Linked DNA regions of Ovis aries. The protein of the gene in region 2 interacts with the protein of the main gene of each other region in a pairwise test. Links are inferred from orthologs where the notes say so. Each region holds a gene or a part of one and is shown on either strand. Other genes may lie near its edges.

The links.
Region 1: the proteins of YWHAG (region 2) and TNFAIP3 interact in binary tests that used the Homo sapiens proteins (3 or more experiments, as listed by UniProt). The link is inferred for Ovis aries from reciprocal best matches to the Homo sapiens genes YWHAG and TNFAIP3.
Region 3: the proteins of YWHAG (region 2) and EPB41L3 interact in binary tests that used the Homo sapiens proteins (3 or more experiments, as listed by UniProt). The link is inferred for Ovis aries from reciprocal best matches to the Homo sapiens genes YWHAG and EPB41L3.
Region 4: the proteins of YWHAG (region 2) and FAM53C interact in binary tests that used the Homo sapiens proteins (3 or more experiments, as listed by UniProt). The link is inferred for Ovis aries from reciprocal best matches to the Homo sapiens genes YWHAG and FAM53C.

Annotation. Positions count from the first base shown.
Region 1 is NC_056061.1:63,022,143-63,029,674, reverse strand, and holds the start of TNFAIP3 (tumor necrosis factor alpha-induced protein 3), read right to left. Parts: upstream 4,192-7,532; 5' UTR 3,925-4,191; intron 555-3,924; 5' UTR 540-554; coding exon 245-539; intron 1-244. UniProt on the Homo sapiens protein: Ubiquitin-editing enzyme that contains both ubiquitin ligase and deubiquitinase activities.
Region 2 is NC_056077.1:34,831,290-34,838,686, forward strand, and holds the start of YWHAG (14-3-3 protein gamma), read right to left. Parts: upstream 4,056-7,397; 5' UTR 3,867-4,055; coding exon 3,780-3,866; intron 1-3,779. UniProt on the Homo sapiens protein: Adapter protein implicated in the regulation of a large spectrum of both general and specialized signaling pathways. Binds to a large number of partners, usually by recognition of a phosphoserine or phosphothreonine motif.
Region 3 is NC_056076.1:39,340,160-39,347,070, forward strand, and holds the end of EPB41L3 (band 4.1-like protein 3), read right to left. Parts: intron 6,604-6,911; coding exon 6,220-6,603; intron 5,432-6,219; coding exon 5,300-5,431; intron 4,024-5,299; coding exon 3,925-4,023; intron 3,498-3,924; coding exon 3,222-3,497; 3' UTR 3,148-3,221; coding exon of another isoform or gene 3,037-3,147; 3' UTR 1,849-3,036; coding exon of another isoform or gene 1,843-1,848; 3' UTR 721-1,842; downstream 1-720. UniProt on the Homo sapiens protein: Tumor suppressor that inhibits cell proliferation and promotes apoptosis. Modulates the activity of protein arginine N-methyltransferases, including PRMT3 and PRMT5.
Region 4 is NC_056058.1:47,404,837-47,412,547, reverse strand, and holds the start of FAM53C (protein FAM53C), read right to left. Parts: upstream 4,318-7,711; 5' UTR 4,276-4,317; intron 1,400-4,275; 5' UTR 1,248-1,399; coding exon 1,170-1,247; exon of another isoform or gene 784-1,169; coding exon 726-783; exon of another isoform or gene 1-725. Other genes in the region: small ribosomal subunit protein eS25, read right to left, coding at 5,210-5,587; oocyte-specific histone RNA stem-loop-binding protein 2-like, read right to left, coding at 6,904-7,000, 7,143-7,286.

The DNA.
Region 1 (7,532 bases), on a different chromosome or scaffold from region 2:
AACACAGTGTCCAGAAATGCATTCTCCAAGGTTCAGTGTGCTCTGCTCTCTAACATGCACTAGAAATCACCCTTAATTCAAATACTCACAAAGCAAGCTTGCTTTCGTCACATGCCCCTCAGAGTGTCTCTATACTTCGGTACCTATAGCCTTAAGAGATTTGATTTGGGCCCGGTGCCTTTTAATAAATAGGGACGCAGCATGGTAGGAGCCACCTCAACGCCTAGACAAAAGCACATCTTACCATTTGTTTTCAGGGCCACAAGCCTCCTGACTTCTCGACACCAGTTGAGCTTCTTCTGGCTTTCCAGGGAAGCCTGGATGTTTCTGTCAATGAGAGCATTGTGGATGATCTCCCGAAACTGTGGACAAAACTGGCAAGTTCTGAACATTTCCAGAGTGTATCGGTGCATGGATTTAAAATGGTGAATGATTCCATTGGTAGGTTTAAAAATATCTGCTGGTGTTCTCTCTCGTATCTTCACAGCTTTCCGCATATTGCTCAAATACAAGGCCAGAGGAAGGAGTTGCTCAGCCATGGTGCTCTCCAATACCTGAAGAGGAGGGAAAGAAAACCCCACGCTGTTAGTCTGACTTTGATATGACTCCTATATACCTGCCTGCAGGAAACCCCACTGTCTGATCTTGTCATTACCCTGAGCAGCAGGCAAAAGATCTTAGTCACCTCTACTCCCAGGATACTAGCTGGCCCCAAAGATGAACTCACACTGGACAGTTTTAAGTTACATCATTTTTAAAGATTAGTCTAAACAAGAGAAGGAGTGGGCAATGAGGAGGAGGGGAATAACCCGTGTTTTCAGTAACGTTTGTCAGGGAGCCAAGCTTGTCTGTCAGCAACAGGTATGGTGCCTTCTAACCGACTGAAACTCCTGTCTCATCCTGATGCTGTTCTGGGGGCAAACACTGGATTTGAGGTGCCCTGAATGCTGGTTATAGGCACAATGTAGCCCTGACAAGCCAGCTCCTCTTCTAAGAGCACCACCAAGCAACCCTTCTTTTTAGTCCATGTCTTGATTTACCTCTTTCAAGCACTCCCTCCCTATACTGGAAAGACAACAAATATTTTGTGAGAAATCCTGCAATTTTATGCTGCTATGTAGGCTGTCGATTGGAGTTTTCTCTATAGTCCCCAAAAGGAACATTTATAAAGCATTTACTTATAAAATGCTATTTACATATTTACATAGAGAGTTAAACTGAATGTTTTATAACCAACAAAAAAGTCTACTCCCAGCAAGGATGCTTTCCAATTTTAAGAGCAAACAGTTAGCAGTCTCTCAGAACCTCTTCACTGAACTTTACAACATCAGAAGAAGAATTAGAATAATAACAATACTAGAATAATAAATCCTATACTTCCAAGGGCAGATAGTAAAAGCATAGAATAATTCTATGCAATGATGGAATTAACTGTACTACTTAAACTCAACAGCCAACCCCATTTTATCATCATCTTCCAGCTACCAATACTCAGATTGATTTCTCACCCTGTCTTCATCCTGAAATCTTCAAGCACAATCAACCAGTGGAAAGAAATAAAAGTTTGGAAGCAGACAAGGAAAGAAGTTGCAGCCAGAGGGGGCCACTCGGAACAAATGAAAGAGGAGGGGGATAACCCCAGCATCTCCAATCCATGACAATAGCATAGGAAGATGTGAATAGATTTAACGTGGGACTTTACAGCTCATCTCTTTGTGGAGAGCCAGCTGACATTCACTGACCCTGAGCAGAGTGCCCTGCCATCCATCCAAATTTCCAAGATGAGGACAAAGACAGTTTCAGAGCACGAACTGAGCCTCTAGGAAGTTTCACTGTGATCGTTAATCCCAGTCCTTTAGCATACTGTTTTCCAGGGCAAGACTCTAGATGACAAAGAAGTTAAACCAAGTTAAGAGGGAGAAGAAACCTCCCTCTTACAAGAAAGCCTGTCTGGGGTAGGTCTCAGCTTTCTTAAAGACATTGATAAAATGGTCTAAATTCTCATGGCCCACTCCAGGGAGACAGGTGGACTAGATGACTCCAAGGTTCCTTCTGAGGAGTCTTCTGGTGGTAGATTTAGATCAGGTTTCCTAATCTGCTGGCTAGATGATGCCTGGAAGAAGTCATTCTCTGGGTCAAATGGTAATCTCTCCTTTTTGACGTCAGACATTCCTTGCAGGTGGAATTGGGCAAAAGCATGGCAAGGCCACAGACACAACTAAGGGATAAAAACATCACACACGCTCCCCCTTGGTGGCATGGCAAAAGCCTCTTTCATGATGTCATTCATTTGTCCATCCATCACTCAGCAAGCATGGCCTGACCACATACTTCTACTGCCTGACCATCAGCTTGGTGCTGAGGCAAAAGATCAAAGATAACATTATTCCCCAGCATGAAGTCACATGACTATCATAGTCTCCAGCTACAGCACCTGCAGTACTGGTCCTGCTCAGGTAGCTCCCACACCATCCAAGGGCAGGGCTTTGCCTAAAAGTCCTGTCTTCCAAACCCACCTCCTTGTTAATCTCACAACACCACACCTGTGGCTGCAGTACCTGCTGCTCTCACATGGAGACAGGCAAGAAGATCCGAAACAAACTAGGTGTAGCCTCTTTTTGCTTTTCTGACTCTTCTGTTATTCTCTTCTGCACCTAAGATCTTTCAAACAGTGAGCGCTAGAACCACAGGCAAGACATGCAAATGTCAATATCTGACAGCCCAGTGTCACCTCATTCATTGGTGTAGCCTTGAATGGCCTGCAGCATTGCCTCCTTAAAAGAAATCAATGCCCATTGCCTAAGTGTCCAGGACTTAGACTTCTCCACACTTGAGATTAAAGAATAATCTGACTTGTGGTAAAGAATTTCTGAGCTATGAATGTAATGTCCTTATTCGCAAAGACAATATCACCTATAACATTTCTTTCATGTTTCTGATACCTCATTGGCCTACCAACAGATATTAAATTTTCAGAAAGTACTACTTCAAAAAGTCAAAAATTGTACAAAGAATTGAAAACAAAAAATAAAGCAGCACCTTAGGACACAAGAATGAAGCAGTAACTGGCTGCTTAATAATCTGGGACATTGGGGCTCTGGTCCAGAGGACTCAAACACTGGTTCTCCCAAAAGGCTGCCCTGAAAGAGTTGACCAGCGTGGCTTTCCGAGGAAAGATCAGAGGCAGGGAGAACTGAAAACAAAGCGGTCTCAACAAGAGTTGCGCTCCTTCCTTACTTAATACCGCGGCTTTCCTGAAAGGCCAGGTGGCAGGATGTGGGACGACCCCGGCTGACAAAGACAGTCTGACTTGGGGGTAGGGGCTTGCAGATGCTCTAAACTGGAGTCACCCCCCAAGGCAGGCGGACGACCTCCTGCTCCATGCATACTTCTCTGACACTGCTGCCCTCTGAGTGTCTGCAAGCCCTCCCGGAAAGGAGAGCTGACCGGGCCCCCCGCCCCCTAGATTTTGCTGCCGCTGCGACATCCCACCCCTCTGGACCGGTGCTGCACAGTCTGGAAAGAGGCCAGGCGGTTCTGCAAGGTCTACGTGGCCGTAAGCATGCAGAGCTCGACTCCAAAAGGGACAAGCCGAAGAGCAAAGCACCGATGACCACCCGGACCAAGCGGCTCCGGGGGGCGACTCTCCCCCAAGCAACTGCCGTTCAAGTTCTCTGCATGAGCTGCAAGGAACAGTTGGCTGGATCCTAGAATACAGGCTGTCACCCGAACATCTGGCGGCCACCTGCACTCTCAGCAGCTCAGAACCTACGGGGGTCACAAACGGCCAACAAACTTCCCTCTGGGACAGCGGCAAAACCAGGCCAAGTCGACGGGGCCAGCCCGCGGGTCGCTGCCAAATTCGCACCCGCAGCCCTTGTCCCGGGAGAGCCCGTGGCAGAAGGCACAGGGACGCGGGGTTACCTCTTCGGGCCGCGCGATCCTCTTCAGAAATCCCAAGTCCAGGTCAGGACAAGCATGCACCGCAGACTGGGGTCGCAATTCGGGTCGGGGCCGGGTGGAGGCGGCTCCCCATGGACGCCTGGTTCGGTCTAGTTCTCCGGCGGGCCGGCCGGGGGCTGTAGATCTCCTTTGCTGCTGCCACCTCAGTCTTCCCGGCGGCTGCTCTCGCCGCTCCGCCCCCAAGGCCTCCTAGCTTGTCGCACTTGGCCGCCGCGAAGGCTGCCGACTGCCAGTTCTCTTTTTTCCCTTTCTGTTTTACCGCCCGCGGACAGCGGGGATTTCCACCCAGGGACTTTCCAGTCACGTGACACGAGCCCCAGACTCCCGCAGCCCTGATATCGCCGCTAGGGGGCGCAGGAGGCGCAGCAGGAGCGGGAAGCCAGATGCACTCCGCCCCGCCCCGACCCCGCCCCGCCGCCCCGCCCCGCCGCGCTGCCAGAGAAACTCCTGCGCCCCGCCCCGGGGTGTCCCCGCGTGAGTCAACTGGGCATTTCGGAAGCTGGACTGAACGTCACATCCATGTGGAAATCGCAGTGATGGGAACTGGAAATGAAATAGGTTCTTTTTCTCAGCCGTTTTTCTGCAGAAAATCATCAACTGTGGAGAACAAGAAGGGAAATCATAAAGAAAGAAAACCCTAAAAACCACCCTAGCGCCCGGGGACCACAGACCTCTGCTGGGTTTGCACTGCTTGGGCTGCACACGTGATGAGCCCGTAGGGGAGCATCCAACTCTGGGCCCCTGGGGGGATTTCGAGAAAAAGATGCAGTCACAGCTCTTGGTCCTCACCCGCTGCATTCCTGCCATCCCCGGACCCCAGGCTGGTGGGAGGCTACCTGGAGGTGACGTCAGACCTCGAGGCCCTGAAATTCACAGGGGCAAAACCAGACTTAGATAAAATTAGGAATCAAAACCGCTACCAACTCCCTCCGTCACTTGATTAATTTCCCGTCTCCATTTCTGCGTATCAGGGGTCCGGGTGGCATCACATTCAGGTATCATACCAATTTACAAATCACTTCTTGTTCCTTGCTGTCCTTGCCACATTCCCCTAAGCTGTTATTCGGAGTCCTTTTAGGGGATCTTGATAATAGTTCTCCTCAAGATGTCAATGGCTGATAATACTTATTACTCTTACTCTTGATTGGTGTTGTTTTAATCCCTAAGTCATGTCCAACTCTTGTGACCCCATCGACTGTAGCCGGGCAGGCTCCTCGGTCCATGAGATTTCCCAGGCAAGAATACTGGAGTGTGTTGCCACTTCCTTCTCCAGGGGATATTCCACCGAGGGATGGAACCCATATCTCCTGCAAAGGTATACTGGTTCTTTATCACTAAGCTCTCCTATTAAGTAGCATGCTAAGAGCACTGTCTTCACCCAGCGAGTGTCTTGTGGAAATAGGTGTCAGCCATCTTGGAGCTGTGGAGAGAGAGCCACTGAGTAAGTCCTTTTATTGCCTTAGTGTCCCCTTTGACTGGGCTCATTTTCTAGCATGATTAAACTAGAACCAGACTGAAGTATTCCATACCATTGTCCTCTTGTAGACTTAAGAGTACTTGTCAGGACATATATCTCAGGTTTTGAGTTAGAAAATCATACTCCTTTTCTAAGAAGTAAGAACCTGCGGAGAATGAGGTGGAGTCCGCATGGGGGGTGGTACTTTTCCAATGGCTTTTAGAAGTGAGAGTCAGTAGTGACTAAAGTTCCAAGGCTGGTGCTGGTCATTTGAAACCAATGACTGGAATTTTTTTTTCCAGCTCCTAACCGGATATTTGTCCTCCTCTCATTCACAAACGTTTTCAACTCAAGTAACACGGAAACAATGGATAGTCAAGCATATAGTAATAATGATGATGATACTTATCAAGTCCTTATTACGTGCTAGGTTGTAGGCTGTTTGCATTCTGCCATTTAAACCTCACAGTTCCACTTTGCAGATGAAGAAATCGACGTTTAAGAAGTTTAAGCCATTTGCCCAAAGTCTGCACGATCAGTCAGTGACAGAGGCATGACTGGCTCTGAGCCTGCCTTATACCCACACTGTTAGGTCCTGACTATTGATAATCACTCTCAGAAGAGAGCTTATAAGATTTAAAGTCTCAGGGCCCCTGTTTGTAGGGGCCCCACCTCGTAAGCCTATGGCAGTCACTTAGCAAAACATGGACCCTGGCCCGGGGCAGCATGTGGTCTTGGGAGCCAGACAGGGCTTGGTTTTATCCTCAGAAAACTTTCTGAGCTAGGAAAGCTGATAAAAGATGATGGATGTAAAAGATCATCCCCAGTCCTCATACTACTCTCCCCTTGCGGTCCTCTGAAAACAGTATTTGCCAGCTCCTGTGCATCGCTGCCTGGCTATGGCCCCTCAACTCCCCTGTAGCTTCTACTATCCCTTTTCTGGCTTACATCTGCTGTCTGGTTTCATGAGCTAGGAATGCAATAGCAGGAGCAACAAGCCTCTCCATGGTTATATCTGTCACTTCCAATTGTCCTGAGATCACTGCTGTACCATCTTGTCTGCCAAGATGAGGATTTATAATGAGGTCATGGCAGTCAGGAAGTTAGGACTTCCCTGGTGGCTCAGATGGTAAAACGTCTGCCCGCAATGCGTGAGACCTGGGTTCAGTCCCCAGGTGGGGAAGATCCCCTGGAGAAGGAAATGGCAACCCACTCCAGTATCCTTGCCTGGAAAATACCATGGGCGGAGGAACCTGGTAGGCTACAGTCTATGGGGTCGCAAAGAGTCAGACACAACTGAGCAACTTCACTTTCTTTCATGGCAGTCAGAGGCAGAGTAGTTTGTGACTGTCAGTTTAGCTCTACCCCTATTTCCATAATTCTACCACTAGAATGATGGTCTCTATGAGGATGCTTTCTTAGCCCTGCCCTTCTCTAGTTTTTACTGTTCTTTCCACCTTCTGAATCAGAGATCTGGCTCTGCACTTTTCCCTTTCTAGTACTTAACACATGGGCAAGACCAGTCAAAATTTTCTTGGTAAATCAGAAACAAAGAGTGGAAGAGGAAGGGAGAGTATAGAAGGAGAAACTTCTTATGGGAAAGGAGATAAAAATTTGGGGAAATCTGGGCAGTGCGTTGAAATCGAAGAGATATAAAAGCCTGTGTTAGTCGCTCAGTCGTGTCCAACTCTTTGTGACACTATGGAGTGTAGCCTGCTAGGGTCCTCTGTCCATGGGATTCTCTAGGCAAGCCTTCAGTTCAGTTCAGTTGAGTCACAGCATGCCAGGCTTTCCTGTCCATCACCAACTCCTGGAGTTTACCCAAACTCATGTCCATCGAGTCCATGATGCCATCCAGCCATCTCATCCTCTGTCGTCCCCTTCTCCTCCTGCCCCCAATCCCTCCCAGCATCAGGGTCTTTTCCAATGAGTCAACTCTTCACATGAGGTGGCCAAAGTACTGGAGTTTCAGCTTTAGCATCATTCCCTCCAAAGAAATCCCAGGGCTGATCTCCTTCAGAATGGACTGGTTGAATCTCCTTGCAGTCCAAGAGTCTTCTCCAACACCACAGTTCAAAAGCATCAATTCTTCGGCACTCACCCTCTTCACAGT
Region 2 (7,397 bases):
TTGCTCAGATTTCAGGTAAACTGTTCTTATTTGGATGAGCATCACAGTTTTTAAGCTCTGGAACTTTTAAAATGGAAATACAAACCAAGCCAAAAGAAGTGCCCCCTCCTTTTTTTTTTTCAGTTTAGGCTGAAAAGGTTCAGATGTTAGAAAACAAAGACAAAGGGATACTGATTACCACTGGCTGAGAGTACTTCATTACTGACACATTCCTGAATCAGTAATCATGTGCTGAAATCCAGCCAGCTATGGCCAACCATGGTCACTTTTTAAAAATATCATTTTTCCCTTTTCTAGAGTGCTACTGAATAGTACACTTGAAAAGGGTTAGTTTATGCCCTGTGACTGTTACCTCAACAAAAAAGACTCAAATCATTTTCTCCACTCTTTTTGGTAATTTAACTAGAGTTTGGTTTAATAAATAAATAAGGCTTCCTCCAAGTACCAGAAGATGAAATCCTCCCAGGGTCTGCAGTTAATCTAATGAACTGTAATGAAGATGCACATTGAGCAACATCTTTTATCTCGATTAAAAAAAAACCCATATGAAATTGTTTAAATAATTAGAAGAGGCACTTAGCAGTCATTTAAGTTATCGGGAAGGTGAACACAAAAAGCCAACTGTTATCTGTATTCTTCCACTCCAAAGAGAACAATTGAAGCCACATGACTTCGATTATAATAATGGCTGGCAGAACTCCACAAAGAGGCTACAGAGGTGTCATTACTCCATTAGTGATAATGGCTATTGATCTAGCCTCCTGGAAGAGCTAGCAGAAAAAAACAGAATATTTAACATAGTTAAAAAAAATTTTTTTTAAGTATATAGATTCTGCTAGGAAGGCATTTTTACATAATTAGGATAGACTTTTGCCACTAATGCCCCTCTGCCGCCAACACACCATAAAATGTTTATCCCAGTAACTTCAACATTAGTTGCCTAGAACCTTTTCTCCCCAGCCCCTCCCAAGGCAAATACAAGTAGCTCAAGAGGCTGTTAAAATCCAAAGGACAAGTCAGTATTGTCTAACAAGTAGGAAATATCTAGGTGATCGCTTCTTTTTAGATACAAGCCTACACGTGTCTGAAAAGACTAAACTTCCTTCTTTCCTCTTTTTCAAAATACGTATTATTTCTATCTTGGTTGCACACCTATAACTATCACAGGTCCCGTTTATTACTAGGGTACCTTCACTAGATAGGAATAAATTTCACCACTCTAGCATCTGGATGAGTTCAACCTTAGAACTCACTTTAGTGGTAGGACTGAGTATTTTCTATCTTCCTGTATTTTCCAAATTCTGTGGTGACTTATATAAACAAAGAAACAAGGCTTAGTTACCTTTTTAAAGCATCTACATTTTTTATTTAATCCTCACAACTGTTTCAAGTAGGTGTTGACCCATTTTACAGATGAGAAAAGGAAGGTCAGACGTAAGACCAATTCCTCAAAATCACAGTGAACAGATTTGCTTGGAAAAATGTCTGCTTTATTTTATAAAACTGTTTTCCTTCCTCCATACTCCATTAAGGAGCATAAGCATAGCAAGAGAAGCTTTCCAAATCTCAAGCTGGTGTCTGTAGCAGATTCTCATTCCCTAACGTTTACTGAAAATGTCCCAGTAGGAAGTCATAATCTTTTTTAAGGTTTCTATTAAAACTTGCCAAGTTAATAATCTGCAATAAACCCACATATACCCCTACACTATGAGTATAAAACATATTCTTGTTTTAAAATTTTCCATCTCTAGTCCTTCAATGCCCAAGGTTATTATTGAGATGAATGTTTAAAAACATGACTGTATCTTATAAACTTTCAAGAAAATTGGAAATAGGAAAGGTGAACAGGCATATCCAGAGATCCCTGGTGTGCCTGTGTCAGGATAAAGGACATTCTTCTTTGGGGGACCAATTCTCCTCTGGCGGAAGAGGAAGTGCTCAATTCCACCTGGCTTATCTGCTAATTTCTGCATTACCCTGGACAAATGCCATTTGCATACTCCCTACCAGCCCTGAGGTGCATTGCAGCCTCTGTGTCATTGTGTGTGACATCACTGGGTTGCTATGGATATAGGTGCGAGGTCACTCGCTTTCCTGTGAAACTAGAAATATGGAAAAATTAGAAGAGTCTAAATAACGCGATAAATGATATTGATATCCACTGAAGTGCAACTTATCATTTGCACCTTATAAAGACAGCGACTGTGACAGTATATTAATACAGCAGTACTCCCAATTTCAGAACCAATCCTCTTCCTTAATGAGATAATCTTCTCTGCTAATGTAGCTGGTTTAAATGTAAAGGCATCAGCCTTGTCATCTCCTGTGAACCAGTAGAGTTATTCGAGAATTAATTAATCTGTAATGCCTATACCGCCTCATTAAAGAGGTTTCATGTGCAAGGTACACTCCTGTATCCGCTGCACACTGGAGATGCATTTTAAAACCTTTGTTACATAAGGCAGGAAGTTAGATATTAAAATAGTGAGACTGAAATCATTAGATATATATGTTTCATTTAGTAATGCTCAATATGTCCCCCTCTAATATCAAACCGGTTGACCGCCCATCAGATAAATGTAGCATTACTGACAAAGTGGTGCAATACAGGCAGGAATCTGCAAAATGCGACAACTGGAGATCAGTATTCTCTTTTCATCAGCATTGAAGATGCGCTAGCTTTTTTTTTTTTAAGCTTCAGATGTGTCTAACAAAACAAATTAAAACAAAAAAAAAAGACTTTTTCCCCTTTAAAATAACTCCTCCCCAGCCTCCACCCAGTCTAGGCTCTCTGCAATATGACAAATGCAGAATCTTCTGGAATGACTTGATACTGCCTCCCACCACCGCTTTGTTTGCAATATCAGATCAGAGAGAATATTTTTTTCAACTTAAAGGAATTTCAACAGATGTGTGCCTGTATTTAAAAAAGAAACAGCATATGTCACAAATTGAACCAGTCGGCTAAATTCACAACCTTTATTTTAGAGACAATACCTACCCTTTCAGTACGAGCACAGTAAGAAAAAAAATGGAGATGACATATTGAGAACAATCAATGAAAACGCTAGCGAGACAAACGTGCCCCCCTTCCTAAAGGCAAGAAGAGGGCTTGCTTTGGGGAATGGAGAGAGGGGAGCCTTTTGTTAAGAAAAACGTGAGCATGGAGGTTTCGATTTTGCACCATTGAGTCCAGATTTTCAGGAGACCCTTCATTTTTTCTCGAGGAGGTTCTAAAGGATCTGTCTGCAGAAGGTAGTGGGAACATTTGGGGAGTGGGGTGGGTGGGCGGGGGGGGGGGGGTATTAGAAAACCCGGAGACCTGCTGAGTGAATGGGAAAGGCGCCGCCCAGACATCAGGGAGAAAAGAGGAACCGCATCCATGCGGTCCCCCGCCCCCACACGCCCAGGCTGTGGGAGGAGGGGGAAGTGGGGCACAAAGGATGCGCACGGCCCCCCGCTCAGGTCCCCAAGCCGACCCGAAGGCGCGGCGGCCAGAGACCCCGCTCCCGAGACCGGCCCCGAAAAGACCCCGCCCCAGCCTGGGCGCGCGGGGAGGGCCGAGGCGGCCGGGCCGCCGGCCCTAGGGGACGCTCGGGGAGAGGCCGCGTCACACACCTGGTCCTCAGCGTTGTCGGGACCCTCCCCGGCCCCCTCAGGGGCATCCAGACCTGCAGTCGCCGACGGGCGACTAGTCCCCGGGCAGAGCCCGCGAAGGCCCGCGGCCGCGAAGGGGCTGGGGCGAGGCGGAGGGGGAGGGGAGGGGAGGGGAAACTCACGTTCTTCATGGCAGCGGCCATGTCGTCGTAGCGCTCCGCCTGCTCCGCCAGCCGGGCTTTCTGCACCAGTTGCTCGCGGTCCACCATCTTCACGGGCTGGGTCGGGCCGGACGAGGATGATCCGGGACGGCCTGGAGGGCTCGGAGGGCGGCTGCGACGCGGCTGGAGCCCGTGTGCTGGAGGGACCGACCCACACGAGACGTGAGCGGCTCGAGGCGACGGGCGCGGAGGCTGCGACTCGAGCTGCGACCGCGGGACCGGGCGCGAGGCGGCTGCGGCGGCTGTGCGTGCGGCGGGCGGACAACCCCCTGCGGCCCCGCCCACGCCGCGTGACGCAGACGGCCCCGCCCACCAGCCCGCGCAAGGCCCCCGCCCCGGCCCCGCCCCGGCCCCTTCCGCTTCTCGGGTTTCCGCTCCCCGGCTCAGCTCGCTACCGCCTCCCGGGTATCCCCTTCTTCCCCGGTGCCCCTCGACAAGCCCCGTGCTTCACTTCATCCGGCTCGCTGCGCCCTAGCTTCTCCAGACGGTCCCCCACCCACCCTGGACCTGCAGACCCCAACCCTGCCAGGCCCCCGACTCGTGGGCCCCTGGGAGTTGTAGTTCTCCCTGGGATGGGGTAATATGTTGGGGAGATCAAGGACAAAGGGGCGGTCAAGACTACATCTCCCAGTGGTCATAGCGGGACAGATGAAGGAGGATTGAGGAGGTGGTGTGGGGCGGGTTGGGGAGGTCTAATTCCGCGGCTACTGGGGACCCCTGGCGGGGACTAAGGCTGCCCGAGTCCGAGCGAGTGCTGATTCACGGCCCCGCCCCATATTCTCCGGGAAATTACTGGGGGAGGGGGGCCAGGACCTCAGCCCTAGACCTTGTTTCCGAGATAAAACAGCAGGCCCCCGGGAGACTGGGAAGATGGGACGCATTCACTACTGATCCAAACTGTCTGGGTGGTACTCACCTCAGAGATGGTTGAATTAAAAGAGCCAAACCTTGGGGGGACTGCCACCCTCCCCCACAAGGTTCCGTCTCTCCTTCCCCGCCTCGAGGTTCTTGGACCTGACAGGTGGAAATGTGGAAAGACAAATACTGGCCAGGCATTCTGGTTAATACACGGAAAGGATGCAGCTGTTTGCAGCCTGACCCCTGGGGAGCCCTTTCTTCCTCTCCAGGGTGGAGCGTTACCAGAGCCAATGGATGCTTACCACTGAGTTCTGTCTGGGGGTTGACCAACACTTCTCTCCCCGCGTAGGATATACACGATGGGGTCAGGCTGACTAATTCTTGCTTACATGCTTCCCTTTTTTGACATTCCATGTAGCTCACATACCCCAAAGTTTTGAGTGCACATTTTATTTATTTGGTACTTATCTACTGAGCACCTGCTATGTTCCAAGCACTGTTCTAAGCAATGCGGTACACCAGTGATCAACAACACAAAATTCTGCCCAAGAAAATAGGCTAAATAATGTGTAGAGTACGTTAGAAAATTATAACTAGTTAAAAAAAATTAATGGGCACGAAGTGTTGTGTATGAGAACTGAGAAAGAGGGAATTTCTGTGAAGGAATAGTCCAGGCTCTATGCTGAGCACTGGAGGAAGATAGCATGGAACCCTGCCCTCAAAGAATTCAGAATGTGTTAAGCACTGTTGTTTTGTTTTTTAATTCTTTCATGCTAGATAGAAAAAGGTTTTTTCTGTTGTTGTTTGGTGGGTTGTTTTTTTTTTTTTTGGCCTGCTCCTAGGCAGCTTCCCAACCATGGATTGAACCCAGGCCCTGCACAGCAAGAGAACAGTCCTAACCATTGGACCCCCCAAGGAATTCCCAGGAAGAGGTTCTGAAGAGCTGGAAATATTTCCAACCCACTCCCTTAAAGATGTATAGGATTTAAAATAAATTAATTAATTAACGTGAAATGAAAAGCAAAAGAAAAAAAAAACTTTTTAAGAAAAGGAAAAGATCTGTAGAATTTGAAAGCAGGCAGAAGGGACAAGCAGGGGACTCAGAGGCAGATTCCTCCCTGACATATGTATTGTTAGACAGAGAATCCAGTGTGTTTGGTGCCTGAAGAGATGGGTAGTAGGGACTGGGGATGGAATTTGGGGAGTTCCAGAACTTGGGGAGCCCTGAATGGCAGGGCAGGGAATGAAGTCTTTCTTCCCAAATAAATAGAATACCTGTGAGAGATTTTAACCAGGGCAGGAAATGACCAGACTTGCATTTGGTTTCCATTGTCGTTGCTTCCCAGTGCTGAGTACAGCGCCTGGCACAGCATCCGTATGTAGAATGTGTGAAATGAAGAAATGAATGAACACGCGTGTGTTCAGGGAGACTCCTCTGGCAGGAGTGGAGGAGATGGCCTGACTGAGAAGAGCCTAGAAATAGCTCTCTTCACCCCTCCTCCAACATGGGATCTGGTCCCTCCTCTCCTACTACACTACCCAGCAACATGCAATCCTGCTGGTGAATAAACCCTCCCACTTCCTTCTGTCTCTTACGTGCCTGTTTGCCAAGTCCTTCCTCTTCTTTTCTCTTCCTCCCTGCAGGACAGGCCTCAGTCTTTCTGGCCTGGGCATCCCAGGTCTGTGAGAAGGAACCATTACAGCCAACCCTGCTTGTCCGCAGGTGGATTAAATGATTCAGGACCAGTGATTCAGGACCCAGAAGCTACATCTCGGGAACTTTCTGGCACATTTCAGGCTGCCTTTCTCCACCTCACTTCTTTCCCTGACTAGTTCAATGGAAAGGGGGGAAAAAAAAATCCAGGCCAAATCTGTTTGGGGAAAAAGTAAAGCTAATGCAAAGAAAAGGATGTTCTAAAGGGAAACAGGAAGGCTATCAGCAGTCTCCGTGTTGAGACCCATCTCTGATGGCCCTGCCTTCCTTTCCCTTTCAATTCTTTTTAAGACTCTAGGCTTACTGCTGCAGCTGCCCAGTGGCCCCAGCTGCTTAGAGGGCTGCTTTACAGGCATAGTGACATGACATAGAGCAAATGGCTTGGTATTCTGGTTTCCTCCTCCACTCTGTGTGGTACTGATGAAAGAAACGTGGAGCAAGGAGGTGGAGAACTAGCCGTTCTGCCTTCTGCCTGGCCCTCCGCTCTATGTGCAAGACCTGTGTTCTCTCTGGTTCTTAATTTCCTCACCTTTGAAGTGAGAAATTAAACTCAACGTTCCACCCAGCCATGGTGAGTTCTAGATTAGAGTCGGCCTGTTCCTCATCTGAAATGGAAGGCTATTCACAGTCTTTAGCTGTGGAAACAAGGAATCTGTCTACAGACCTGGGAGCTGGTTCAGTGCCAGAGCTGAGAGGCTCAGAGTCATCTTTGTTTTTTATTTTATTTTTAAATACTTTCTGGCTGTGCGGCATGTGAGATCTTCGTTCCCGGCCAGGGATCAAACCCATACCCTGAACAGAAGCAGCCCAGAGTCTTAACCGTTGGACCACCAGGGAAGTCCCCATCTTGGTGTTTTTAGACCTGGAAGCTGAGACACAGAGATCTCAGCTGTATGACTGGCCAATGGCCACACATCAGCGACCCCTAGAGCCTGAATTCAAACCCAGGCAGATCTTCTGGACTTCAGGCGGTAAGGGCACCCTTTCCTGCCCAAACCCTTGAGAGT
Region 3 (6,911 bases), on a different chromosome or scaffold from region 2:
CACAGATTCGATCTCTGGGTTGGGAAGATCCCCCGGAGGAGGGCATGGCAACCCACTCCAGTATTCTTGCCTGGAGAATCCCATGGGCAGAGGAGCCTGGCAGGACACGGTCCAGGAGTTTGTGAAGAGTTGGACACAACTGAGCAACGTAACACAATAAATGTGGTCAAATATATTAATAATTTTCTGGAAAAAAAAATTTAATGAAGGGTGTTTTTTTTTTTAAAGTTGGGAAGTGAGGGACGAAGTGCCAGTGGATACACTCAGGAGTTAGGTGGGCAGCTGGCAACAGAAAGTCTGATTCTTAGTCCCCAGCACTCGAGGAGCTCGATGTGAATCAGCCACGGGAACACATAGGGCCCTGCAGACCGGCCTCCTTATCTGCTCAGCTCTGGTGCTAATGCAAGACAGAGGTGTCTCTCCGGTAGAATTAAAAGGCTCCAGAAGCACTGGGTTTTCAACAGAGCCTCCCTTCTAACAGAAAAACAAAAATGGTGAAAACGAGGTTCTGTGATACTCGCTGTACTTTTCCAGGCTTCCATAGGCAATCCAACGTTTATCTACACGTAGTTTGTTCACCATCTCTCTGTACTTTTTATCCTGGAAAAAAGACAGGCGCTCTCTATCCTGCAGATGAATGAGGCCTTTGATGTCATGCAAATGTTAGCTCTGGGCCAAATGCGTCTGATCCTGAAAGTATTACACGTAGAGAATTAGAGATTTAAATGCATTGACCATTTTTATTTTGCTATGCGGAAACATACATTCACCAGGGGCTGTGCGATGCAGTTGACAGTGAAATGGAGAATATATCTTCTTGAAGGCTATTTATAACTCAATGCTAAATAGTTTAATTACAGTGGAAATTCTGTACAGTTTAAGGCTTGGCTCTGAACTAGATTGTAAATATGGACCAGATTTGGAAATAAAACACTTTTTTCAAGTAAAAAAAGAAAATTAAAAAAAAAAATACAAGGAAGGAGAAATGAAGAAAGGAAACAAAAGCAACTGAAGCCCAACGAGTTTTCCTGGAGTGAAGTTTCATCATTATGGTAAACTAACAAAAATACAGGTTTTCTTTCCAAAATAATGACATTTTACATATTTAGGACTTGTCAGGGTACCCTGGGAAGCTTTCCAGATTGAACACGGACCAAAGCAGATGACAGGGAAGAAATCACATTAATATGCTAAAATCAGTACTACCTTATAACGAATTAAATTAGATTACACAAAGCAGGATTGTGAGCATTAAATATTTCCGGAGAGTCATTACCATTAATGGGTGAGAGTAATAAACCAGAGGAAACAAATAACAAGATTCAAGTTGTTTACTGAATAAACTCGGTTATTGGCACATCTAATCTGGGAAAAACCTGACACAGTGGACCTAGACAGCTTCTAGCAGTTGAGGGTAATCTTTGTTGATCTGTAAACAAAAGATTTGCCACCTAAGAAACTGCAATTTTGTTTAGACTTTAATCATCATCAGCTATGAAAGGCATGGACTGCTGTATGTGTTACATGAGATCACGGTTTGTATTGTTGGTTATGAACGTGCAGGTGGAGCCGAAAACGGAGACACGGTGTGAAAAGTAAAAATGCTGCTCTTTTTGTAACTGTATCGTTGCTTCATGCAATATCGGTTTAGTGGTGCTGATTCAGATTGCTTTATTATGGGAAGATCTCTCTGCCAGTGTCTTTATCAAATGGTCAAAGTCAGTTCTTCTGGATTGAAATTGTCCATGGGCAGATACAAGTCAGTGGGTTAGAAGAGGGAACGCCATATAGACTCTGTTTTTTCCTAATGGTTTGCATAACTGGCTTCGTGTGCAGCCTAGGTTATTCCTGTAGAAGAGAGATTTGATCAGTTACTCATTTGAAAATACATGAGAGTTTCCCTCAGACTGAAGTCAGGTGGCAAGTATCTCACAAGGTTATTAAATGCTCTTCTGGACAAGATACTGTAAAACACCAGTGTATGTCATGGACAGGCTTCTTCTGAAATAACCTCATCATTACCCAAGTTGCTGACTGCACTGAAAAGAAACTTTTTCTTTTTTTGCTTTCCTTCTTAACTTGAATATGATGAGTGATTTTTACATTCTTCCTTTGAGAGAGGCTACTTATCAATCTAGGTTTCTAAACCAATGTTAGAGAACTAACTTCCTTTACACAGGTAGAGCATTTAAAAGATTTTTATTACATAACCAAGTGTGCAAGGAGCTGCATTCAGCATTCAAAGCCCTCCAAGCATGTTCAGTGTTCATCAAGTTCTTGCAGGTGGGTTAGTATGCATAACAAGTCTGAGGACACACAGGAGATGCTGTCTGCTTATGATGCTGGCCAAACAGCAGCTGGAAAGGCATGCGTTTCCTGAAGGAAAGCAGGACCACAAGACTGCATTTTTGCCTCCTCCTGAGACACAGTGCTACACTCTGGGGAAAAAAAAAAACCATCCCAAAGTACATAGGAAAATAGATGACATCCACAGTGAGAGTGAGTGGTTTGGTTTCAAATTGTAAAACGAAGCAAAACAAAAGCATAAACAGGCCAGAACCAAACACAGTTGACGAGGAAGCTAACAATGGGATAATGCTGGCATTAGAATGGGCATCATTTTATTTCCCTAGTGTTTGGAACACACAAATTGCACCTCTCAGAACAAAACCATATTAGAGCTGATTAGGCTACATGGCCAGTGAAATCCAACAAACACGACCTTTCAGACCTGGCTAATGAGAGGAGCATGGACTGAAAGGGAAGACGTGCAGGACCATGCAAGCAGTCTCTGCTTTCTCTTTATCCTCTAACTGGCAGGGGGGACATCAAAAGTCCATAGCATGGAGCCTGTTAAATCTCAAACAAACCAGTATCCACACACCAATTCTCCATCCTCTTGATATCCAGCCCTGCAAATGCCAGTGAGAGAAAAAGGAGAAAAGGAGGAGGTGAGGGGAGGGAGAGAGGGAGGCCCCGGGCCACATGCCAGCCAAGGCCAAGCCTGGAGAAGCAGCACCCACCTCTTACCTGGGCTCAGTCTTCTCCATCCTCCGGGCTGATCTCTGTCTCTTTATGGACCACTACTTTGGTCACTGACATGTCAGGATGCTGCTCTTTGGCCTCTTTAATTGCCTGAGCCAGCGCCTATCCCCGGGAAATCACAGGAGGGCAGAGACAAAAAGGAGGTGGAACATGCATGGTCAGAGCAAGGAGGAGACTCATGAGCTAGATCTATCTACACAACTCACAAATGGAGTACAACGACTGCCAAGGGGCTTATACTTTGTGTGCTGGAAAGTTAATTCTGAAAACTGACTACAGGCTGGACTAGGAGGATGGCTCTGGGCAAAGTAGGGCCAGCCGGTCTTTCTCGAGGTTCCCTGCCAGGGTATCCACCCTCTCTCACGAGATACCTGGTCATGGTCAATGTCCGCGTCTCCAGTGATGACGATTCGCTTCTCAATCCTCGTCTCTGAAATGCCTCCTTTCACAGTCTGAAAGCAACAGACAAGTGTTACGACGTTACCGTCCCTGTTGACTGGGGGAAATGGTAGAAAATGCTGACTCGGCTTTAAGTAGCTTCATTCATTCTTTAAAAGTGGACATGGACTCCTATGGCAGTTATTTACAACTGTTAGTTTCAGAAGCAAAGACAGAATAGATCCCTTTGGGTTTGGCTGGCTGGTGTTTCTGAAACGTCTGTCATATGCGAAGCAATGGAGCTAAGTGCTACGCCAAGGGTGTTGAATGCATGTTCCTAAGCAGAACTCGGCAGGTGAGGATGGAGGCATCATAAACAGCAGCTGTGAGAGCTCCAAGGCAGTGCTTGGCATCCTGGTATTCATGCAGGTGCCTGCAGGTGCAGCGCAACCTGGGGGTTCTGCACGGACACCTCCCTGGATCTGTTCCCAGTCCACTTACTTTGGTGATGTGGGTGGTGGTCGTGGTGCTGGTGGTTTCAGATGTGATGGTCTGCGCGCTCATGAGCACACCTGGCTCCAAGTCAGCACCAAGATCGACCTAAGCAAGCCAAGTGGGAGACACGACACATTATCTCTCCAGGATGCCCGCTCTGTTGCTTGAGGGCATGGTGATGACTTAGTTATCTGCACAATCACTGTGCTTCCCTGATAGCCCTGAGAGCTGCCACTGACTCTAGACTGGACCAAACATGGCCGCTGTGAACTATCATTAAAACCAGGACTTCAAAAGATAAAAATATAAGAAAATCCTTGTTGGGAGGTCTCTGGTGGTCTAGCAGTTAGGATTAGATGCTTTTATTGCAGTGGTCCAGCTTCAATCATTGGAAGAAGAACTGAGATCCTACAAGCTGTGCTGCGTGGCCAAATTAAAAGTGAAAAAAAAAAAAATTCTACCCAACCAATCCTAAAGAAATCAACCCTGAATAGTCACTGGAAGGACTGATGCTGAAGCTGAAGCTCCAATACTTTGGCCACCTGATGCAAAGAGCTGACGCATTGGAAAAGACCCCGATGCTGGGAAAGATTGAAGGCAGGAGAAAAAGGGGACGACAGAGGATGAAATAGTTGGATGACATCACTGATTCAACAGATGTTGAGTCTGAGCAAACTCCAGGAGAGAGTCGACAGTGAAGGACAGGGAAGCCTGGTGTGCTGCAGTCCATGGGGTTGCAGAGTTGGACACAACTTAGCAACTGAACCACCACCACCACCGCCTTATTTATGAGATTTATGTGGGATGTTTGTAGAGTATGTGGTACATAATAGGCTTACTAAATGGTCACTATTGTTAAAAACAACAAAAACACAAAAAAGCATGACTTCAGAAGTGTAAGCAGGGGCCGGTGGAACTAGTGCTTTTCCTTATCTAAACAGTGAGGGAGATGAGATTTCTGAGCCTCTTCCTACATTTTGGCTTCCCTCATAGCTCAGTTGGTAAAGAATCCGCCTATAACGCAGGAGACCCTGGTTCGATTCCTGGGTCGGGAAGATCTGCTGGAGAAGGGATAGGCTATCGACTCCAGTATTCTTGGGCTTCCCTTGTGGCTCAGCTGGTAAAGAATCCACCTGCAATGTGGGGAGACCTGGGTTCAATCCCTGGGTTGGAAACATCCCCTGGAGAAGGGAAAGGCTACTCAACTCCAGTATTCTTGCCTGGAGAATCCCATGGACAGAGGAGCCTGGCAGGTTACAACCCATGGGGCTACAAAGAGTTGGACATGACTGAGTAACACTTTCACTAATTACACTCAGGTGCACGAAGGCATGCACGGGGTGAAACAGGTGCCAGGGCTCTGGGCTTCTTAGACTCTTACCTGTGCTGATTCATACGTTATGGTTTTTGTTTCTGTGTGAACTACCGGCACTTCCTTGGTAGAAATTTCTAGCTTTACTTCTCCTGGTGAAACGCTGCCAAAGCTGATGGTTTCTGTCTTCACAGTTGAAGACTACACCAACGGGAAGGAGGCAGAGTGGTTCTTAAATTTTGCACAGACACATATATTTTCCCCCTCCCCTCTTGGTGGCTATATAAGCACAGGTTAGTATGAAATAAATGTTTATGTTTTACATGGGGGTAAGTTGGGGAATGAGGCATACAACAGATATATGTGAGTTTCCCAGAATTCATATGGAATGTTCCAGGTAAAGGAAAACATTTTGAAGGAAATTGAAAAAACACCCACATTTTTATATTCCCTCTCTTCTATCTCAAGAACTAATTTTAATAGATTGAAAACCATAAATTAGCCTTTTATTCCATAACTTCTTAGAGAAAAGGAGCAAGTAATAAGACATTGAACCACCCCTGCCTACATATACTTCTGAGATCTCAGTAAAAGAAAACAAAGAATAAACTCTAGCACTTGGTGCCTGGGCAAGCCTGGCTGTGGCCCTTCTGGATAAGTACACTGATCGGAAATAGATCTATCAAGTTTTCTAATATCTTGGCTGGCCATGCATCTCCCAGGTTTACTGCCAATTACAGTAATTACAACAGTAAGAATTATTTCCTGGAACTGTAGATTATTAATCATCATTATCTATGTTTGCATGTGATCCCAAAGATGGAAACCAGCACGGAGACCCACAGTTGCCATGCAAGAAGGCAGTTAAGAGGAGAAACAAACTGCTCTTGGAAAAGGAAGAAAATTATCAACACGTAGCCCCGCCTTTACACTTAACTAAATTTTAGGGACTTGCTTTAGTGCTACAAGGAATATTAACTATTAGTTACCTCAAAATGAGGTTTTTGTTCCAAAGTTTCTGAAACGTGGACGGCTGCACTCTGCTCCTCCTCTGGCTCACAGGAAACAGTGGCCATTTCGTCCTGCTCCACAACAACTTTATCGGCCACCTCCCCTTTCTCCTCCTTTGCCCCCTCAGTAAGAGCTGAGCCCTCCTTCCCTTTTGCGCCAGAAGCATCAGCAGGTGCTGCCTGGGTCGCAGTGTCTGCGTCATCTCCAGCTGCGTAACAAGCATCCCCGCTCGCATGCACATTCATTACATGTCTCTCCTCCACCAACACCGTTTCCTGCACAACCTTCTCCACACTAGGTGGCTGGGGTTGCTGGGCTGTTTCTGTCTCTATATCGCTGGACTCCGTCTTGACTTCTGTTTTCTGCATGGAAAAAAAAAAATTGTGGCATCAGTATGACTTTCCACCAAGCAAAGGTCAAAAGGCAAAAAAACCAAAAGAAGCCACTCACTGGGGTATCTGTGCTTATACCCAGAAGCACTTACAGAAAGTATAATTCAGCTTTCATTCTCCCCACCAGAATCTCTGATACCCCGAAACACACACTCAAACTTGTGCTGCTCCTCTGGGATGTTGCAAAAGAAAGAGTGCGGTATAAAATGCAATTTAAAAATCAAAACAAAACGAAAGCATGGGGACACATGCCTATCAGTCTCGGCGGCTTCTTCAGA
Region 4 (7,711 bases), on a different chromosome or scaffold from region 2:
ACCACCTGAAACTAAAAATATAGAATCATAAACTGCCTGTGAATCCGTGTCAAAGGTAGAATGAGTCAAGAGAAGCAAAGGTGTGTGTGCCACGCTCATCTTTCACTCCACTCCACCAAGCTCTACTTTGCTCCCCCAACCCCCAAGCCCTGAGTTGCGGAAAGCTGGCCTACACTCTCCGTCCTTAGCCTTTACCTTTCCTATGTGTCAAAGCACCAAGACAGGGTGATCAAGCAGGTAAGAGATCATCTGTATTCTTAGTGAAGGCAAGGGTGGGGAGGGTACAGTGGGAAAGGCCTTTGATGGTGCTTGTGTTCCTCTGGGTCTGGCCACCCACAAGGAAACGCTCAACATACTTACATGGAAAGATCTTCTAGTTTTATTATGATTAGTTTAAAAAGAAAGTTCCAAATATACAGAATCCAACCTTTTGTATTAAAAGAGTGTGAATAAAAAAAATTTACATTTTTATTTGATTCTATTTGTGAAAAAACAAAAACAAAAACTCTGGTTGAATAGACAAGAAACTAATAAAAGGAATTACTTTTAGGGAGGTGATAGAAGCTCGGTAGATAGAAAAGGAAGGGGCACTTTTTTCAGATTAACACTTTTCCTATTTAAGAAAATTGTGGAGGCAGGCTAGCTAGACCTGGTTATGGAAAACCAATAAAAGAAACGTGGATGGAGGCATGGGCATACACACACATAAACACATCATGTCTTACCAGACACAAGCTGGAAAGGGTTCCCACAGTTGGAGATGTCTGCATGATCAGGCAAAGGCTAAGAGACACAGAATATCCATCATGATTCAAGATCAGGACAGAGTTCCAGGAAGCCCCTTCAGCTCACCCCTGCAATTCATGGGCTATAGGGATATTAGGGACATCTAAGTGTTCTCTTCTTATCCTCCCAAAGTTAGTGAGTAAAATAATTCACATCTTCCAGTATCTCAAACCCTTCTCCACCCAAATTTTAGTGGCCCTTCTCTTAACAGTAAGAAAAACCTTGCCCCCTTCCTTTTGGGCTAGGTTTTGAGCCTTTAGCGGGCACATCCAGTACAAGTACCATGATTCATACAACGCAGGACAAGGGTGAAGTAGTAACAACAAATAGCCTCAGAAAAAAGGGCAAGGGGGTCTTAGAGAAGTGGGAAGACTGTCTTTTACCAGACTGATGCTGAAGCGTGTGCATTTCAGCTCATCCAGAGTCTGCTTCTGTAGCTGCTCAGTGATCAGGGTTATCATGATTCTCCCCAGGATTTGACTTGCACACTTTGGAGCAAATGATGGATGTCTTCCCTGTTGTTCTTCCAGACCTCACTCATGAGCTGTCTTCTGCCACTGCAGCACCATTCTAGCACCATTGGGACTTCCCTTTCCAGTCATGCCTGCTGAGTCTGCCAATTACAGATGGATCAGCCCCAAGTGATATTAGAGATGTACCTACTCCAGAGATGGAAAATGCATGGCACACATACCCCAGCATCCCTATGTCAGGCCTCTGGCACACATCATTAACTGATCACAGCTCTTTCCGGCTAAGCCTAAACATAGCCTCGGAAACAGTCTCAACTTGGCACTCCGGATAACCAGTATAATAAAATGGAGTTAGCAAGCAAGTTGAAACCTATTTGCCACTCCTAACCTGGTTCATGCTCTGCTCTGCCTACCCAAAATACCAGCACCACTTAGAAAACAGCTCAAATGAGAGAAATGCCCACATTGTTATATCCTTCTTGATTAGTCCAATATTTTATCTTCCAGTCAAAAGCAAGGAGAGGTAGCCTTTTCCTAAACTACAGAAATAGCAACAGTGCAGTGGCTGTAGGAATGACTTTCTACTTCAAAGCAGAGTAAACAAGGTATTATATTCTCCTTCACCCTCAACAGCGGATATTACATTATTGTTCTCCAACAGATACTGTACATATTCTCTTATATGAAGACAAGAAAATGCTACCAGGGTAATTCCATTCACATTTCAACTCTATAGGTGTTAAAAACAACAACTCTAACTTCATTCAACTAAGTTTTTAGCCTGATTTGACTCAAAGACCATGAATACAATTAATCAAGACTCTTTCTCACGGTCAATTACAGTAGAAGCAAACTAATTCTATCAGAAAACAGGCTTCAAGCCCACACAATTGCCTGAGGGACCTCAATCAACGGAGGAGGGGAAGTTAATCTAACATTTCCATACTGTTCTGCCTATTCCCAGAAATGACCAGCAGGCAGACAGCAATCAGACAGAGTAAGTAGCATTTGCTAGCAGAGAGAACAAACTATCAAGACATCAAATCTGGATCCGATTTGCTGTGATGGTCTTGGCAAATCATCAAACTTTTCTTTCCCTCAGTTTACCCATATGAAAAACGGGCAGAATAATCTTAATCTGTCACAGGGATAATGTAATGCAAAATATCAAAACATAAGAAGTATACCACTTGGCCTGAACAAATCAGAAGTCCACACAGACTGCCATTTCTCACCCTTCCTATTTGTTGCTCTACAAAGCCTCAGGGTGCTACAAGTGATAATATTAAGATGAAGAAGGCAATTGGGTTGATTTATTTGGCTGAGTATCAACCTCCCTCACTCACATGCCAAGAAAAGCCCAAAAGGCTTGACCTTGAGGGCAGATAACTTTCAACCCTGGCCAAAAAAAAAGGTGGAGGGGGGGAAATCCTCTCTACTAGATTTCCACCTCAGAGGGAGGCAGACCACAAGGAAAAGCAAAGAAACACACTTCGATGTACTTGGAGTTTAGGCAAAAAAGAGGCAGAAGTCAACCACCACTATAGTCAAATAATGTTTTCATGCATAATTATTATTACCACCCTGAAGTCCCAGTTTCCTGAGCGCTCTTGAGCGCTCCCTTCGGCTGCTTCCCCCATTCTTGTAGAAGCTAAAGCTTGTATCACTTCTGCTCTTGGTTTCTTAACTCTGCCCTCAAAGACCAACCAGAGAGGAAACCTAAGGCAGGCTTTTACCCCCAGAGACCCCAGGCCTCAGGCTGACCAGCCATGAGGAGCACGGAATGAAGCAAACTCTTTCAAGGTTTTCATGAGGCATTTGGCCAAATAGCAAACTTCCAGCCCTCTCTGGGATCAAGAGAGTGATTTTGTGTTTTTCTGCATTTTAATTGTTGGGATGTGGCCACACACGGCGGTAATTAGAACAATGCAACTACCACCACGCAACTGATACTTTCAGTCTGAGTTTCCTAAAACAGGCCAGGCTGAGAGGGGGAACAGAACGGAAGCCATAAGGAATCAAACCAGGACACAAAAGAAGGCAAACCAGCTCCGCGAGGGGCCTCCTCTTTCTCAGGCAGGCAGAGAAAAAAGAGTAAGAAGCCCTCTCTTGCCGTCTTCCTTCCCCTTCCATTTTGTGTATCTGAGGGGCACAGACAGCCCTGAACGTTCACTAAACAAGTTAAAACTTCTCAGCTTAACAACTGGCATGGGGCTAAGCCCAACACAGAGCAGCAGGCCGCTAGGCCCTCCCTCAAACCCCACCAGGCCCAACTCTCAATCCAGGCTTTCTCTGCACCATCACCTGTCCCTCAAATAAAGGTTGGACCCCCACCCCACTGGGTGGCAGTAACCCCTGACATAAGGGTTTCAGGGATGCTGAGGTTGTGCTGAAACCTGGATAACCTAGGATCAAGTCAGGCCAAGGAAGAAGAGAGTCAAAAGCCCCTGGAGACCTTCCCCCTAGGTCCCAGTCCCACACTCTGGGGGAGACTGAAGAAAAACATGAGGCAGAGAGGCACACGAACAGGTATGTGGGGACCTGAGTGCTTTTTCTCCATATGGCACCGGTGGGCATAGGAGTGACAAGTGGGAGCACCCCTCCCCCCACCCCAATGAAGAAGCAAAAGGCTAGGCCCCCCTCTCCAATCTTCAACCTCTCCATCGGTTGCTCTGCCCGTCCCCGCGGGGTGGGGCATGGGGCGTCCGCTAGCCCCTTGGGGTGGGGGGGGAGGGCGCCACGGCACGCTCAGGGGGGCTGTCGCTCGCCTGTTCCCAATCAGCTCCCATCATCTGGCCGCGGGGAAGCGAACTCAGGACACAGGGGACGAGAGGGTCTGGGACTTAACACTCCGCCACCCCCTCCCCCACCGGGTCCCGTGCTCTCCCCGCGGAGGCGGCCAGCGAGGCCCTGCCTCGCGGGCGGACGGGCTGGGGGAGGGGAAAGAGGGAAGGAGGGAGGGACGGTCTAGGTGCCCGCCCCGAGGCCCCAGCGCCACCTGCCCTCCGCCACCTACCGCGGCTCCTCCAGTTCCCAGGGCCGCGGCCGGAGCAGCTCTGAGCGCTCGGTTCGCCCCACGGTGCCCTTAAAAGGCGCCGGCGTGAACCAACGGGTCCCTGAGGAGAGTGGAGCGATCGCTCGGGTTGGGAGAACCCCCCCTGAACCGTCCGCGGAGGCTTGAGCCCCGCGTCGTTTTTCTCGCAAAGTCTCTCTTGGATAGCGCCGTCGGAAAGAGGCCGGGCTTTTTAATTTAGCGATGAGGGTGGTTTCCTCCCTAGGAAGTCACCCCCTACAGAATATTGCGGAAGGTGGACTGGGCCAGTCGAACGCAAATCTCGAAACTCGCGGGGGAGGCCGTGTTGGTCGAAGGTAAACAAAGCCATTGCTCCCGCCCTCTGTTACTACATCAGCCCATGTACAGCCCCCAACTCGATTCCGGCAGCGTAATGGAATTAGCCAGGGTTCCTCTCACCTGTTCTCCTGCCCCCACTCTCTAAGGCCTCCGCTCTGAAGGAATTCCCCTTCCCCCAGCAGAGGACCCGTCCGCGTCGTGAAGGCTTCTGGGAGGCGTAGTCCAAGCTCCGATTAGGGCCTGCTCTGAGTCCCAGGAGCCCCTCTTCCAGCTGCCGGATCGGCTCGAACCTTATAAACCCAGGACCTGTAACGGTTGCGGGCCGTTCCCACTTGTTTGTGTAGTTAGCTGTCACTCAAAATACTGTAAATCCGACGAGGGCCCAGGGCTGTTCACTCCTTCTCCTCTCTTTATGCCCCCACCCCCAGCAGGATGAGGTAATGGGATTGTGATTATGACATCATAGGCGGTTCAGTTGCTTGCGTGGGGGAGGGGGGAGAAGGGAAAGTACGGTGGTTACAGCTGGACCACTTTCTTTTTTTTTTTTTTTGATTTAATAAAGTTTTATTTTTCAAAATGTACAGCTGGTGGGACCTGTTCATGCATCTTCACCAGCAGCTGGGGCATCTCCACCCTTGGTGTTTCTGGTGTAAATCACTTGAGCTCTGTGCTTTGAAACCAGTTTAATAAGTCCTTTACTAAGGAGTTCCTGAAGGGCTGCTCTGGCCAGGGAACCACGAATCTTCAGTCTCTCAGAGACCACAGCTGGAGTTATAAGTTTATAGTTGGGAACTTCTTTACAGAGTTTGTCATATGTTGCTTTGTCAAACAAGACTAGGTTATTGAGCTTGTCCCGAACTTTGCCTTTGGACCACTTCTTCTTTTTGGCCTTGCCCCCAGATTTGTTCACTGGATCTTTGTCTTTCTTGGCCGACTTTCCGGCATCTTTCTTCTTCTTGTCGTCCTTGGGCGGCATAGCGAAGCCCGGAGAGCAGCTGCAACCACTGCCGCCTCGCTAAGATGTCGGACAAAAAGCTGGACCACTTTCTTTAAACCTTTCTGGGAGGGAGGAAACAGGTCGCTGGGGGAAAAGATATTGATAGTGCTATATTTCCTCTTCAGGAAGAGAAAATCACCTTTTATTAAGTCTCCATCGCTACCAGTACCTCCTACTCAGCCAAAGTTTAAGTCCTTTTTGAAGAGACTGAATGTAGCAGTTGATAGGTGAAGAGGCTGTGAAACAGCTAGGTGGTTTCTGGCTCTTAAGTAAATTTGAGTATCAGCTATCAAAGAAGGTTTAGACAGAGGGTAAAACATGGGAAAAGGAGAGGTTTTAAACAATGCCTTCGTATTATGATCTTTTTGTGGGACAGAGTTTTAGATTTTTAATCAATTGGAAAGTAGAAGTACTGCAAGTAATCTTCACTATTACATTCAGCAAGAAGTCCCCTGAAAGACACGTTTTCCCTAAATATTTCATGCACCACTGAAGTCTGGGACAGATAAGTAATCGTGACCAGCTCAAAGGTAGAGCCAATGGTGGGGATCTTCCTCAGAAAGATAGGGAAGGCAGGAAGCAGGAGTGACCAAATCTGCAAAAAGAAGAGTAAAGGAAAAGTGAAGTATTTATCAAGAAAATACGCAGAGGAGGGGGTTGTGATAGATACACTGCACATTTGTTTGCCCTGCACATTTCTCCTTGGCAAAAGAAGGGGCAGGGACCATGAGTTGTAGAGGAAACGATTTCCAGTAATTGCTGCTATGAAGCGCTTATGTGCCAGGCACCGTGCTGCATACTTTAAATATGTATTCTCATTTTTGTTTACAATCATCAAATGAGAGAAAATTTCCTTGTTTGACAGATGAAACAGCAAGAGAGGTTACGTAGCTACCCATGTGGTGGACAACGGTCATATTAAAAAGCTATCTGGGACTCTAAAGCCCTTGGTCCTCACCACTAGGTAAATCTCCCTTTTTATTTAATAATAAAATATCATGCTTACTAAAGCTAAGTGATTGACACCCATTTCATCAAGTATAAAACAGTGTCCCCAGTGCAGCCCAGCCTCTTCCCCATTTCTAACAACTAGATCTCTTTATCCCGCTTTTGGTTCAGGGTGTTTTTTTTTTTAACTCACATTCTCCATATTTTTCCCCCTGTTGTTCCATTTTCCTTCTTTTGTTCTTGGGCTACTACCTTGAACCCTATCATAATTGTGACCTCCTGGGCTAGACCCCATCTCTGACCCTGCTCCAGTGGGTTTCAGCAGAGGATACTACCTGGGCTCCCTCCTACTCTTCATCCTGATTCTCTGAGGGTTCCAGGGCCTGGAGCCAGTCATCCAAAGGGGTGGAATCCATTGGCTCTAAGAGATTGTCCATTCTGCACCTAGGAAGGCAGCAGAGTCAGAGAAATGTGCACTTCAGTCAGACTCTCCCTTTTCAGCCAGTGAAAGTGAAACCTCTGCAAAGTGGAGAGAGATAAGGCTTAGTCCACCACTCAAGGAAGGAACAAGGAATAGTGCACACACCCCTCAGCCTGCAGAGGCTGGCTGGGAGGGTCCCAGGAATGTAGGGCTCTTCTCCACTTCCTGATCTGGGCATCCCAGGAGCGACGGCTGTACCTCCTGTTCTTGTTTGGTGTTTGAGGGTGAAGTCCTGGCTGTCGCTGTGCCCTGGCAATGACAAATGTGTCAGACTAAGGTCACGGCCAAGGGGCACAGCTTATTGCTTATTATGGTGAATTAGGAGACTCATTAGGGATTTCCTGAAAATGAGGTAAGATCAATGTCCTCAACCCAAAGAAAATGTTTAAGTTAGATTAAATATCAAACTTCCCAACTCTCTAATATTCTTTCTTCTGGGTAAGCTAAATTAGATATTCCAAGTCCCTCACTAGTCAAGGTAGATACGGAAGAAAGTACTTGATATCTCTTTAAAACATATTCTACCTTTTCATTCATTAATTTGTATATATGCTTGTAAGCTTACATGTAATTAGTCAGGTATGTTGTAATTAACAGTCAGATGGAGGCATGGGCCTCCCAGGTGGCACTAGTGGTAAGAACCCTCCTGCCAATGCAGGAGATGTAAGAAATGC